Macaca fascicularis: one gene and its partner. The protein of the gene in region 1 interacts with the protein of each later gene in a pairwise test. Links are inferred from orthologs where the notes say so. Each region holds a gene or a part of one and is shown on either strand. Other genes may lie near its edges.

What was found.
Region 2: the proteins of RGS19 (region 1) and GNAI2 interact in a two-hybrid assay, tested with the Homo sapiens proteins (2 studies listed by BioGRID and IntAct). The link is inferred for Macaca fascicularis from reciprocal best matches to the Homo sapiens genes RGS19 and GNAI2.

The regions. Positions count from the first base shown.
Region 1 is NC_088384.1:120,217,270-120,222,869, forward strand, and holds the start of RGS19 (regulator of G-protein signaling 19), read right to left. Parts: upstream 3,295-5,600; 5' UTR 3,229-3,294; exon of another isoform or gene 2,649-3,228; intron 632-2,648; exon of another isoform or gene 494-631; intron 339-493; 5' UTR 271-338; coding exon 241-270; intron 31-240; coding exon 1-30. Other genes in the region: protein LKAAEAR1, read right to left, coding at 4,221-4,238. UniProt on the Homo sapiens protein: Inhibits signal transduction by increasing the GTPase activity of G protein alpha subunits thereby driving them into their inactive GDP-bound form. Binds to G-alpha subfamily 1 members, with the order G(i)a3 > G(i)a1 > G(o)a >> G(z)a/G(i)a2.
Region 2 is NC_088376.1:113,287,351-113,292,210, reverse strand, and holds the end of GNAI2 (guanine nucleotide-binding protein G(i) subunit alpha-2), read right to left. Parts: intron 4,256-4,860; coding exon 4,127-4,255; intron 3,759-4,126; coding exon 3,629-3,758; intron 3,545-3,628; coding exon 3,391-3,544; intron 2,979-3,390; coding exon 2,788-2,978; 3' UTR 2,764-2,787; intron 2,122-2,763; 3' UTR 1,133-2,121; downstream 1-1,132. UniProt on the Homo sapiens protein: Guanine nucleotide-binding proteins (G proteins) are involved as modulators or transducers in various transmembrane signaling systems.

The sequences.
Region 1 (5,600 bases):
GGGCCGGTCCGCCTCCTCTGGCCCTGTGTTCTGGGGAAAAATGGGGCTACCTCAGCCTTCAGGTCAGAACCCACCAGACCCTCCACCTCTCCCCCACCCTCCCATGGGTGGCCCTGTTCCCAGGCACATGACCCTTCTGGCCTCCCGGGTGTTCAGGGATCTCCCAACTCCTTGTGGCCCCTCAGCTTGCCCCACCCCGTCTACCCCAGGGGAGCAGAGGCAGAAGGGGAGGTGGCATACCTGCTTCTCAGCCTCATGCGGGGTGGGCATGGGTGGGCGGAGGAGGTTGCCCAGGCTCCGTGGTGCCAGCTCTCAGACCCTCACCACAGCCTGGGGGTCTAGGGAGAGGGGCCAAGGTTCTGACTGAGAACCTGAAACCCCAGCCCCTGCCTGTCCCTTAGGAGGGGTCCTGAGAGGGTGTCTCCCTAGCAGGGCCTGCTCCTGCCTCTGGACCCGGCTCTGTCCAGGGCTTCTACCCCAACCCCAAGCTTACAGCAGGGCTGGGAGGGGGTCTAGGGTCATTGAGGAGGGGGCTGCAGCAACTTCTGGCCCCTCCTCCCAGGCTGGGCCCCAGATGAGGCCCCCACAGAAGGTTCCGAGACACCCCCATCCGCTCACTCCCTGGGAAGCCGGAAGCCTGGGTTCCTCTTTCTCGGTTTCCGGCTCCCAGCCCCTCCCAAAGGGGCCCCAAGAGTCTGGGGCTACCAACTGTGCGTGCGGGTGGTGGCCAGACTTGCTTCTAGGGCGTCTGGGGTGGGGAGTGGGCAGAGCAGCTCCCACCAAGAGTCCAGGTCTGTCTGCGGGTCCCAGAGGTCTCAGCCAGGGGCAGCAGGTTAGACCTGCCGCAGTGAGGTTTTAAGTGGGACTCAGGGCTGGACTCTCTGAGGGTGTGGGGAGGGGGGCAGGGCCCTGGTGAGGAGGGACGTGCCCCCCAAACATGGTTCTTTGGTCCTGCTACCTCCCTCCCAAGACTTCCCTCCCTCCTTGCCCACTGCCTCTAGGCTGTGAAACCGCTGTGGAACCAAGGCCGTACCACACAGTGCGCCAGCCAGGGAAGTGGGGGTGGCAGTGGGTGGAGGCACCCTCCTCCCCAGTCAAAGCCTCAGAGTCCCTGAGGGGTGTGGTGTGGTGCGTGTACCTCCCAGCGTTTGGTTGCACCATCGGCAGGGGAGGTGCACCAGGAGCGCCAAAGCTGTGGGTGGCCCTCGTGCCACCTAAGATACCACTTTGAACCCCAGGTCTCCTTGGGCAATGGCACAGGGGGGCCAATCAGTGCCCCGGAGGCAGTTGTGAACACCTGCGCCCACCTCTGCCCTCTGGGCCTCCATGCATGTCCACCACCCTCCTCCCTGGCCAGGAAGCTCACAACTTGGTTCTACTTTATTTTCTCAATCTTCATCCCCCCCGCCACGCCTCCCTTAGCTTGTGGCCTTTGAATGCTTGTTTCTGTCTGGTTGGTCTCTCTTGGCCTTCTGGGACGGTGTGTGAATGGCGCTCAGAGGAGACAGTGCTGGAGTTCTGCACTCTCAGGGCCCCCAATACCCCTGAGGCCTGGGCATGCAGAGGCCACTGCCCTGGCCCAAGTCTGGGGCAGGTGCAGCATCCCCCGGGACCTCGGCCCCTCACCGCCTGCCCAGCTTCCTCTGAGACTGTGGGTCCCACAGGTTCCTAGCAAGTAGATGAGGAGACAGAAGGTGGCCCCGCAGCTGGGCTTGCTTTCAGGGGTCAAGTTTCTAGGGAAAGGAAGGGGCGTGGCAACCTGAGGTTTGGTAGCTGTGCCCAGACGGGGCTGTCTGTGACTTCCCCAGGCAGCAGTTCTTCCTCCTCTCTGCCCCCACCCAGGGTCCTCCCCCACACTCTAGCACCCCGGAGACTGTCCCTCCTGGGCTACCATGTCCACCCCAGCTCTGAACTGGAGGAGGGGACATGTTTAGGGGTGCCAGGCCGGGGTGCTAGGGGCTGCATTTGCTGCAGAGGAGGGAGCCAGCCCCTTCTTTCCCAGCTTCAGGCCCTGGACCGGGTCACCTGTCCCTGGACTGGGCTTCCTGTACCCTTCTCAGGTCAGCTGGGGCAACCCATGTCCCCAGGCTACACCCCCTTCTCTCCTGGAGGATACAGAGTCTCAACTAGGGTCCTCCTGCTTGTCATCCTGGGATTGGGGACCCCCCTTCCCCAGCCTCCCAGGCTTTGGCCCCCAAGTCTGGGATGGGAGAGTCTGGACAGGCGGCACGTCTGGTCTCTGGGGATAGAGGCTCCCTTGGGAGTGGCTGCTGCTTTGCTCCACAGAAGGAAAAAGAACGTCCCAGAGCCTGCCCAGTCCAAAAAAAGAATAAGAAAATGTGACAATCCCAGAAAAAAATGTCATAACCTTTGGGAGGGGTTGAAGAGGGGCTCCATTCTCAGTTCTTAGCGCCCACCCAGGGCCTTTCCCATCTGCCACCCTCCACATCTGGCTGGTGGATGAGCCCTGGCCTGGCCCCTCCAAGGAAGGCCAGCTCTCCCCACCTCTGAAATGGTGGTGGTGACCCACCCACCACGCTCCTCTGGCTGCTGTTAGGGTCCCGCCTGGAGGAGCCTGTGTCCTCCTCCAGGTGCCTCTTTCTCCAGCCTCTGACGCCCCCACCCCTACCTCAATGCTCCCTACTCACCAGCGACCCAAAGGCAGGGTGGGGGCAGGAGGGGCCAGGTTGGGTCTGGGCCCCACCCTGGCTGCCGAAGGGGCGTGCACTGCAGCAGCAGGGACTCAAGTCAGACGGCAGGAGGGACTCCTGCGGCGCTCTGGAGGGAGGCTAGCGCCAGGAGCCCCCGATCGGCTGGGGCCGGGGGCGCAGCGCCTCCCCTACAGCTCGAAGGGCTGAGTGGCTGCCAGATCCAGCGGGGTGGGGGCGGGGGCGGACAGGGTGTCCCGCCCCGGCCCCTCCTCACCGGGCTGGCGGGGGGGAGGGAGACGCGGAAACCTGGGTTCTTCCGGCCCCCACCTTTAAGCAATCACTTCCCCAGGCTTTGAGCTCCACAAAAAGGGGAACCCGGCTGCAGCGCCCCCTCCCCCAAGCGCGGGGGGCGGGCTCCAGTTCCACTGCGGCCCAGGGTCCACGTGGACCTGGCGGCGGGAGTCCTTGGGGTTCGAGTCCCGTGCGCCGGCTCCCGAAGCTCCCGCCCCGCACGGTCCCCGGGCCCGGGCCGGGAGGGGCAGGGCCGCTGTCCCCGGCGCGGCGCGCGCGCACTCACCAGCCGCGCTCCCGAGCCACTCGCGCCGCCGCCGGCCCGCGCGCTCCAAGGTCCGGCCCGACAGTCGGGGAGGGGGCGCGGGGGCGCAGTGCGCAGGCGCCTCGGCAGCACTTCCCCAAAGCCAGGGGCCGGGACTTCCTCGCGCCGGGAGGCGCCGGGCCCGCCCCGCCCGCCGCGCCCCGCCCCGCCCCGCGCTCGGCCGGCTCCACACCCCACCCGCCCCGCCCGCGCTCGGCCCCCACAGTCGCTTGGGGGTGGCCCGGAGGGTTGAGGTGCTCGTAGTGGAGCCCTGGCCCCCGGGCCGACGGAGCTGCACGGTAGTAGATGGGGGTGTGGCCGTGGCCCCCGACTCTGCTCGGCGGGGCCGTTCCTGCCTTGCTGTTCGTGTGGGACTTGCACGACACTCCAGTGTGGAGGCAGGAGAGCGGGGCCCCATATGCTGCTTGCCCTGCTTGGGAAAGAGGCGGCTGCTGGAAAGGACCGATCGGCGGGCACGCCAGCCCGGCCCACCCCTCGCCTCCGTGAGCTTCGTCTGTAAAACTGGGTTAAGAGCCTGTCGTGCTGTGGGGGGTTCCCAAGGAAGGGGGAGATTCCTGTGCTGCGGGGCTGGGGAGAACTGGGGGTGCGGGTTCGTGCACCCGGAGTCATGTCGAATGTCTCCTGCGGGGCCTGGCAGAGTCCCTGCTGACCCGTGTGTCCCAAGATGTCTTACGGCTTAAAGCCACACTGTCCCCTTTGGCTGACTCTTCTCATCCTTTATGACTCGGTACAGATGTGGGCCAGGCTTCTCATCGCAGCATGCTTTGGCCCAGTGTCGGTGGCCCTGACCCTGCTCCGGAAGTGTCTGCAGAGCATCTGTGCCCCCCGCCCTCCCCGGGCCCAGCTGTGTGCAGCTCCCGTCCTACCCAGCACAAGCACTCGACCCGGATAGCTCCCAATGTCGGGGTCCTGTTCATCAAATGCCTTCCAATTGCACAGGTCAGGTGCACACCTTACACCTTCACAGAACTCTGAGGGGTGGAAAGGGAGATTTTACTTGTGTTCCTCATTCAATGGACAAGTATCAGTATCTGGGTGCCCCTGTGGGCCAGGCAGTGGGACCAGAAGCCAGCAACATAGATGGGCCTGGATCTGATGCTAGGGGCATAGAGTGAGTTGTGGGGAGCAGGCAGGGAAGGCCTGAGTGAGAGGCGGGAGGGCTGAGAGGGGAGGGTGTTGCACTGCCGAGGGGGGTGAGGGCCTGAAGGGGGAGGTCAGAGGTCAGAGGTCAGAGGGCCCTGGAGGACAGACTGCCTCTCGCAGCTGTACCCAGAGGTCTGGCCGACTTGACTGCAGAACCCTGTGACTGCCATGTTATCAGGCCAGGCAAGCAAAGGCAGGGGCCAGGAAGTCCACAGGGACAAGAGGCAGGCTGCTGCTTATTCAGCCCAAATAACACTCCTGGGAGGTGGGCACAGGTGAGGTCAGGGAAGCTCAATGAAGATGGGCCAGCACCTGGTCCAGGCCACACACAACCACCTGACCCCGCTGAGCCCGCCTGTTGTCTCCGCTGTGGGAAAATGCAGGTGTGGGCAGTTGGCAGTGGGTGAAGGTCAGTGCCCTCCCTGCCCCCTCGGGTCACTCTACAACCCCCCAATCATTCCCCCATCTCCTCTGGCCCCTTGGGCCTGCTCTCCACTCCCCTGGCTTCTGCCCCTTGGCACAGAGCATCCCTGAAGTCCATGGATGGAGCCAGGTGAGCTGGGCAGTTGATGGTGGAGGTGGGATTTGAACCCAGGACCCTCTGCCCCCTCACAGCCCTCAATATATTGGGCTTTGGACCACATGCCTTCCTTCCCATAGAGCTTTCTACAGGCAGGCGTCCCTCCAGGCCATGCAGAAACGTCCTGGGCCCCATTCCCCAGCCTCCTTTGCACATCGAGCCCCCGCTTTCCATGGGGATCAAAGGGCTTGAGTGCCAGCCTGACCCTGGTGCAGTCACTGAGGTCACTGTCTTGCTGGCCTTCTCTGGGTGCTGGGCCTGCTGGGCCTGTCTCTGCCCCTCTTCCCTCTTGCCTGTCTGATGCAGAGTGACCCATCCCCTTCAGAGCACTTGCTGCTGTGGGGCACCAAGACCCTTCTTCAAGATGAAACGGAGTCTCAGAGAAATGATGAAATAATACGTGATTGTCCCAGTAGATGAACTCATTCTAGGTACTCAGTCAATCCCCAAGACACAGAATCCTGAGGTCCAGGCTGCAGGGAGTTTGGGCAGGGGACACCAGGGCTGGCTGTCATCACATGTCACAAGTACATCAGGGTGTGAGTGACTGCCACTCCTGGACAGAGACTGCCTCCCTTCCTTGTCTGTCTGCCCCTGCTCAAGCCCCTTC
Region 2 (4,860 bases), on another chromosome or scaffold:
GGGGTGGGGACCGGGCCTGGGGGGCGCCGATGTCCTTCCGACCGGGCGGCGGCAGCCTCTCATCTCATCCGTACCTTCGGCCCCGGGCACTGGCAGGTGTGCGGGGGCGGGGTCCCAGGGCTGTGGCTCAACCCTCCCTCCCTCCCTCCCCGCCTCCGCGGCGCCGACCCCGGCCCGCCCCCTGCCCAAGCAGCTCTGTCTCGGGGTGGCCGCGGAGCCGTCGCCTCCTCACAAAGCTGCCTTTGTGTCCAGCGGCCTCCGCGGGACCCGCTGACGTCAGCCTCCGTGACCAGCCAGACAGGGCCGAACGCGGGCGGCGGCGCCCCCTGGCGGCCGGAGGCGGAGGCGTTAACCCCGGAGCCCCACCCTGTGGAGGCCGGCTTTTCCCCCAGCCCGTCCCGACACGTTCAGGCCGCGGCTGTCCCTGCTGCCCATAGGAGAAGGTCTAGGCGCCTCGATGGCACTCAGGGCCCGCCCCACAAGCATCACCAGCCTTGTCATCTGCAGTTCCCTTCCCCAGCAACGCGCGGGCCCTTCCCACAGCCTCAGGGAGCTTTCCATCTTCAATGATCTGCAGCCCCCCAGGCCCAGCCTGTGGCAACCATCACATGGTAATACGGGGCCTGTCTGTCACTACCCTTCAGGTTTGACGGGGGCCCTCTGGGGCAGGGACATTTCAGAATATGTCTCAAGGCCCCTAATGGCCTTCGGTTTAGTCAAGCCTGGACTGCATCCAGCCCACCTGGCTGTGTGGACTTGGCAACGCACACTCTCCGGGCTTTGGTACCTAAGTCGTAAGTCACTTTCTCCTTACACGTTAGAGACGTGCCGGACACCCCTCCTGCTCCCGGTGTGGAAGAGCACTTTACAACAGTTTCCTTAGAAGCCAGTCCAGCTGCCCGAGACCCAAAGCTGCAGAGTGCTGGGAAGGCGGGGACACACGGCCCCCACATGTATGCTGCCTAGTCCAGGTGGGAGAAATGAAGCCCAGAGCTTCGGGCTCCAGGACGGCCCGGAAAGCTGAGTCAGGGCCCTGCCCCAGGTTGAGGACTGAGGTTAAGACCACCATCACCTTGGCACACCTTAGCCGGGGCCTCTGCCCCTGGGAGAGAATACCCATCAGTTCTCGGTATTTTTTTTCTTTCTACATTTTATTATTTCAAACCAGGTGAACAATTCCATAAAACATGTGAAAAAAGCAAGGAAGTGTTCAACGCTGAAGGCCCCGGGCCTGGGACAAGGGAATGAGGGGTGTGGCCCCCCAGCAGGCAGCGGCGGTTCCTAGGTTAGCGCTAGGGAGCTACATTTTAGGTTAATGGAGCCTGGGCCCAGGGCCGCTGGGGCAGGGCCCTCAGTGACGTTGGCAGTTGTCTGGAACAGCCCTTGGAACCCAATTCTGTGGAGGGCAGGGCAGGGTTGCGGCTCGCACAGGGGCGGCCAGCAGAGGGATAGGTGTAAACACGCAGACACACTCAAGGCACGGAGTCACTTGAAAGGGGGCTGGAGGGGTTGCTGGTCAGGATCTGACAGTTTTAAATAGTTTTTCTCTAAAAAGTTTTCTAGATTTGCAGTTTTTTTTTTTTTTTCCTTTACTTTCATATTTTTTTTAAAAAGCTACGAGAATGAGTAGGTGGACTGTGGTCTCCAGGAATGGTGGTGTCTCACGCTTCTTGTGCTTTTTCCTTTGGGGCCTCCGAGCGGCTGGGGGGTAGGGGACTGGGCAGGAGGCTCCCTGTAAACATTTGGACTTGGGCTGGGGCAGGGGCTGGTGTTGGGCAAAGCTGGGGGTCCAGGCTGGAGAAGCAGGCGCCCCTCCGGACATAGCCTTGGGAGACTCAGCATGTGCCCCCCTCCCCCCATCACAGAACAAGACAATGGTTAAAAACCAGAACAGATGCCCAGAAAGGGGGTACCATGGCCATTACCAGCACCTCAGACAAGGGCAGGCTTCAAACAAGGAGGCCCGTGGCAACCCCTCCCCTACATCTGGAGCTGAGGGACAGGGGGAGCTGAGAACAAAGAGAGGAAAGAGGAGAAAAGCGGCCAGGGAACAGGCGGGGAGCGTGGTCTTCTTGCCCCCATCTTCTTCAAGGGTTGGGGGGTACAGAGTTGGCGGTGGCCCTAGAGGTGGGGGGAAAGCAGAGCATGGATCGGGAAGCAGCCAGGCCGCGCCTCTCTCCCACCTCCCTAGACAATGACCCTTCTCCATTTTTCCTACCCATTTGTTACCAGGGACACAGTTGCCGCCCAGGAGCCAGCTTCTGTTGCTGGGTTACATGGAGGAGGGGAGTCTGTGGCACTGGGAGAGTCATCCCCACCTCCACCAGGGCCAGTGGGGCCAGCCTAAGCCCAGGAAGCTCAGACAGGTTGGAGGGCAAGAGCTGGAGGTGTGCACAGAGCTGGTGGTAGTGGGCAGGAGGGCTGGGCTCCGCTGGCCCAGGCTGGGCCAATGGCCTGGTGGGTGAGGAGGTGAGATTTCTCCAGGGAACATCAGAATGGCCTCTGGTTCTGTCCCAGGGCAAGGCCAGGCCCTTCTGTCTGGACCACTGGGCCAGGCCTGCTTGTATGACCTCCTCCATGCCCTGCACCCCACTCACTTGACCTCCTGATTCACACCCTGTGCCTCCTCCTCCCTTGTCCCCTGGTCACCTATTGCCCCTCCCCCTCCAGGTTCAAGCCCCTACCCACCCCCAGAACCCCCTGCTGGGGCTCCAGGCCCGCTTAGTTCTTCCCCAGCTCCCTGCCACAGCCCCTCTGGCTCACCATCCCGCCAGGCCCCGCTGCCCCTCAGAAGAGGCCGCAGTCCTTCAGGTTGTTCTTGATGATGACATCGGTGACGGCGTCAAACACGAACTGCACGTTCTTGGTGTCGGTGGCGCACGTGAAGTGCGTGTAGATCTCCTTGGTGTCTTTGCGCTTATTCAGGTCCTCAAACTTACTCTGGATGTAGCTGGCTGCCTCATCATACTTGTTGGCCCCTGGGGAAGAGAAAATGGTGAAGACTTGTGCTGCATATGCAGCAGGCAAGCCCCATCCTACATGTGCAGCAAGGGTCTGTGCGTGTGGATGGCCAGGCATACAACCTGTGCACACATGTGCACAATATGACAATGTGTGTGGCTGCCCATATATGCCAGATGTGCAAAGGGGTACCCTACTGTGTGAAGGAGGATGCCCAGGTGCACATGTTCAGGGGTACATGCTTGAGTGTGTTAAGGGCTCCACATGTGCACACATAACTATACAAGCCTAAGTGAGGCACCAGCCCCTGCAAATGTTCCAAGGCTACACTTCTGTCCAGTGGGGGGCGCCTGAGGGCCACCTGGTCACCAGGGGCTACTGGGGACAAACAGCAACTCTCTGGAGGCCCTGTCCCCACAGTCCCCACACCTGTGTACTCAGGGAAGCAGATGGTCAGGGGACTGTGTGTGATCTTCTCCTCGAACAGGTCCTTCTTGTTGAGGAAGAGGATGATGGACGTGTCTGTGAACCACTTGTTGTTGCAGATGCTGTCGAATAGCTTCATGCTCTCATGCATGCGGTTCTAGGGGCAGAATATCGAGGTCAACACTAGCCACCACTCCCCAAGCCCGCTGCCTCCACCCGCAGCATTCTCTCAGCCTCTCACCATCTCCTCGTCCTCAGCTAGCACCAAGTCGTAGGCGCTCAAGGCTACGCAGAAGATGATGGCTGTGACGCCCTCAAAGCAGTGGATCCACTTCTTCCGCTCAGACCGCTGACCACCCACATCAAACATCCTGCAGATATAGGATCACTTTAGCTCCAGGAAGGGAGCGCTGGGGGAGGCTTTCTGCCCCATTTCCCAGGTTGGCTGACATCTGGAATCATCCACACTTGCCCACCTCACCCCTGGTTCTGGGCCTGGGGCTTGGACAGCAGACAGGCTGCAGCCACATCAGGCAGGAGCAGCAGAGGCTGTGAGCAGTTGGCAGAGGTGGCATGGATCCTGACTGCTGGTTCACCAGGTGGTGAGGATGTGCTGGCCCAGAACATGTGAGCCTCGCAAAACCTCAGTGGGGCTGGGGGATCCTGGACCAGCCCCTGCCTCTGCTACCCCAAAGGCTGGCAGGTCCTGCCCCTCCCACCTGTTTATATGCTCGCTCACTTGAAGTGTAGGTCCTTGAAGGTGAAGTGTGTCTCCACGATCCCCGTGGTCTTTACGCGGGTCCGTAACACATCTTGCTGCGTGGGGATGTAGTCACTCTGTGCAATGCGCTCCAGGTCGTTCAGGTAGCTGGGGGTGGGGGGTGGGAGGGTCAGTGGGGGCCAACATGGGGCCACCTTACCTGGACCCTGGGCCAGCTGGAAGAGGCCCCTTTCCTCCCATGCCATTTCTCAGGCATAGCCCTTGCTTTTTTCCCTTTTTCTTTCTTTTTTTTTTTTGTTTTCTGAGACAGAGTGTCACTTTGTTGCCAGGCTGGAGTACAGTGGCCTGACCTTGGCTCACTGCAACCTCCGCCTTCCAGGTTCAAGCGATTCTCCTGCCTCAGCCTCCTGAGTAGCTGGGACTACAGGCGCAAGCCACCAAGCCCAGCTAATTTTTGTATTTTTAGTGGAGATGGGGTTTCACCATGTTGACCAGAATGGTCTTGATCTCTCGACCTCAGGTGATCCACCCACCTCAGCCTCCCAAAGTGCTGGGATTATAGGCGTCAGCCACCGTGCCCAGCCTAGGCACAGCCCTTGCTTCTTTAACCCCTGCCTGCATTACCTCATTGCTCAAATGAAGAAACCTGAACTCAGAGCCCCCGGCCTCCCACCTGTAGAATGGGAATGGGAGGAGGTGCAGCTCTGTGGACAGCTAGCCAGTGAAGATCTAGTACTCAGGGTCTGAGCCAG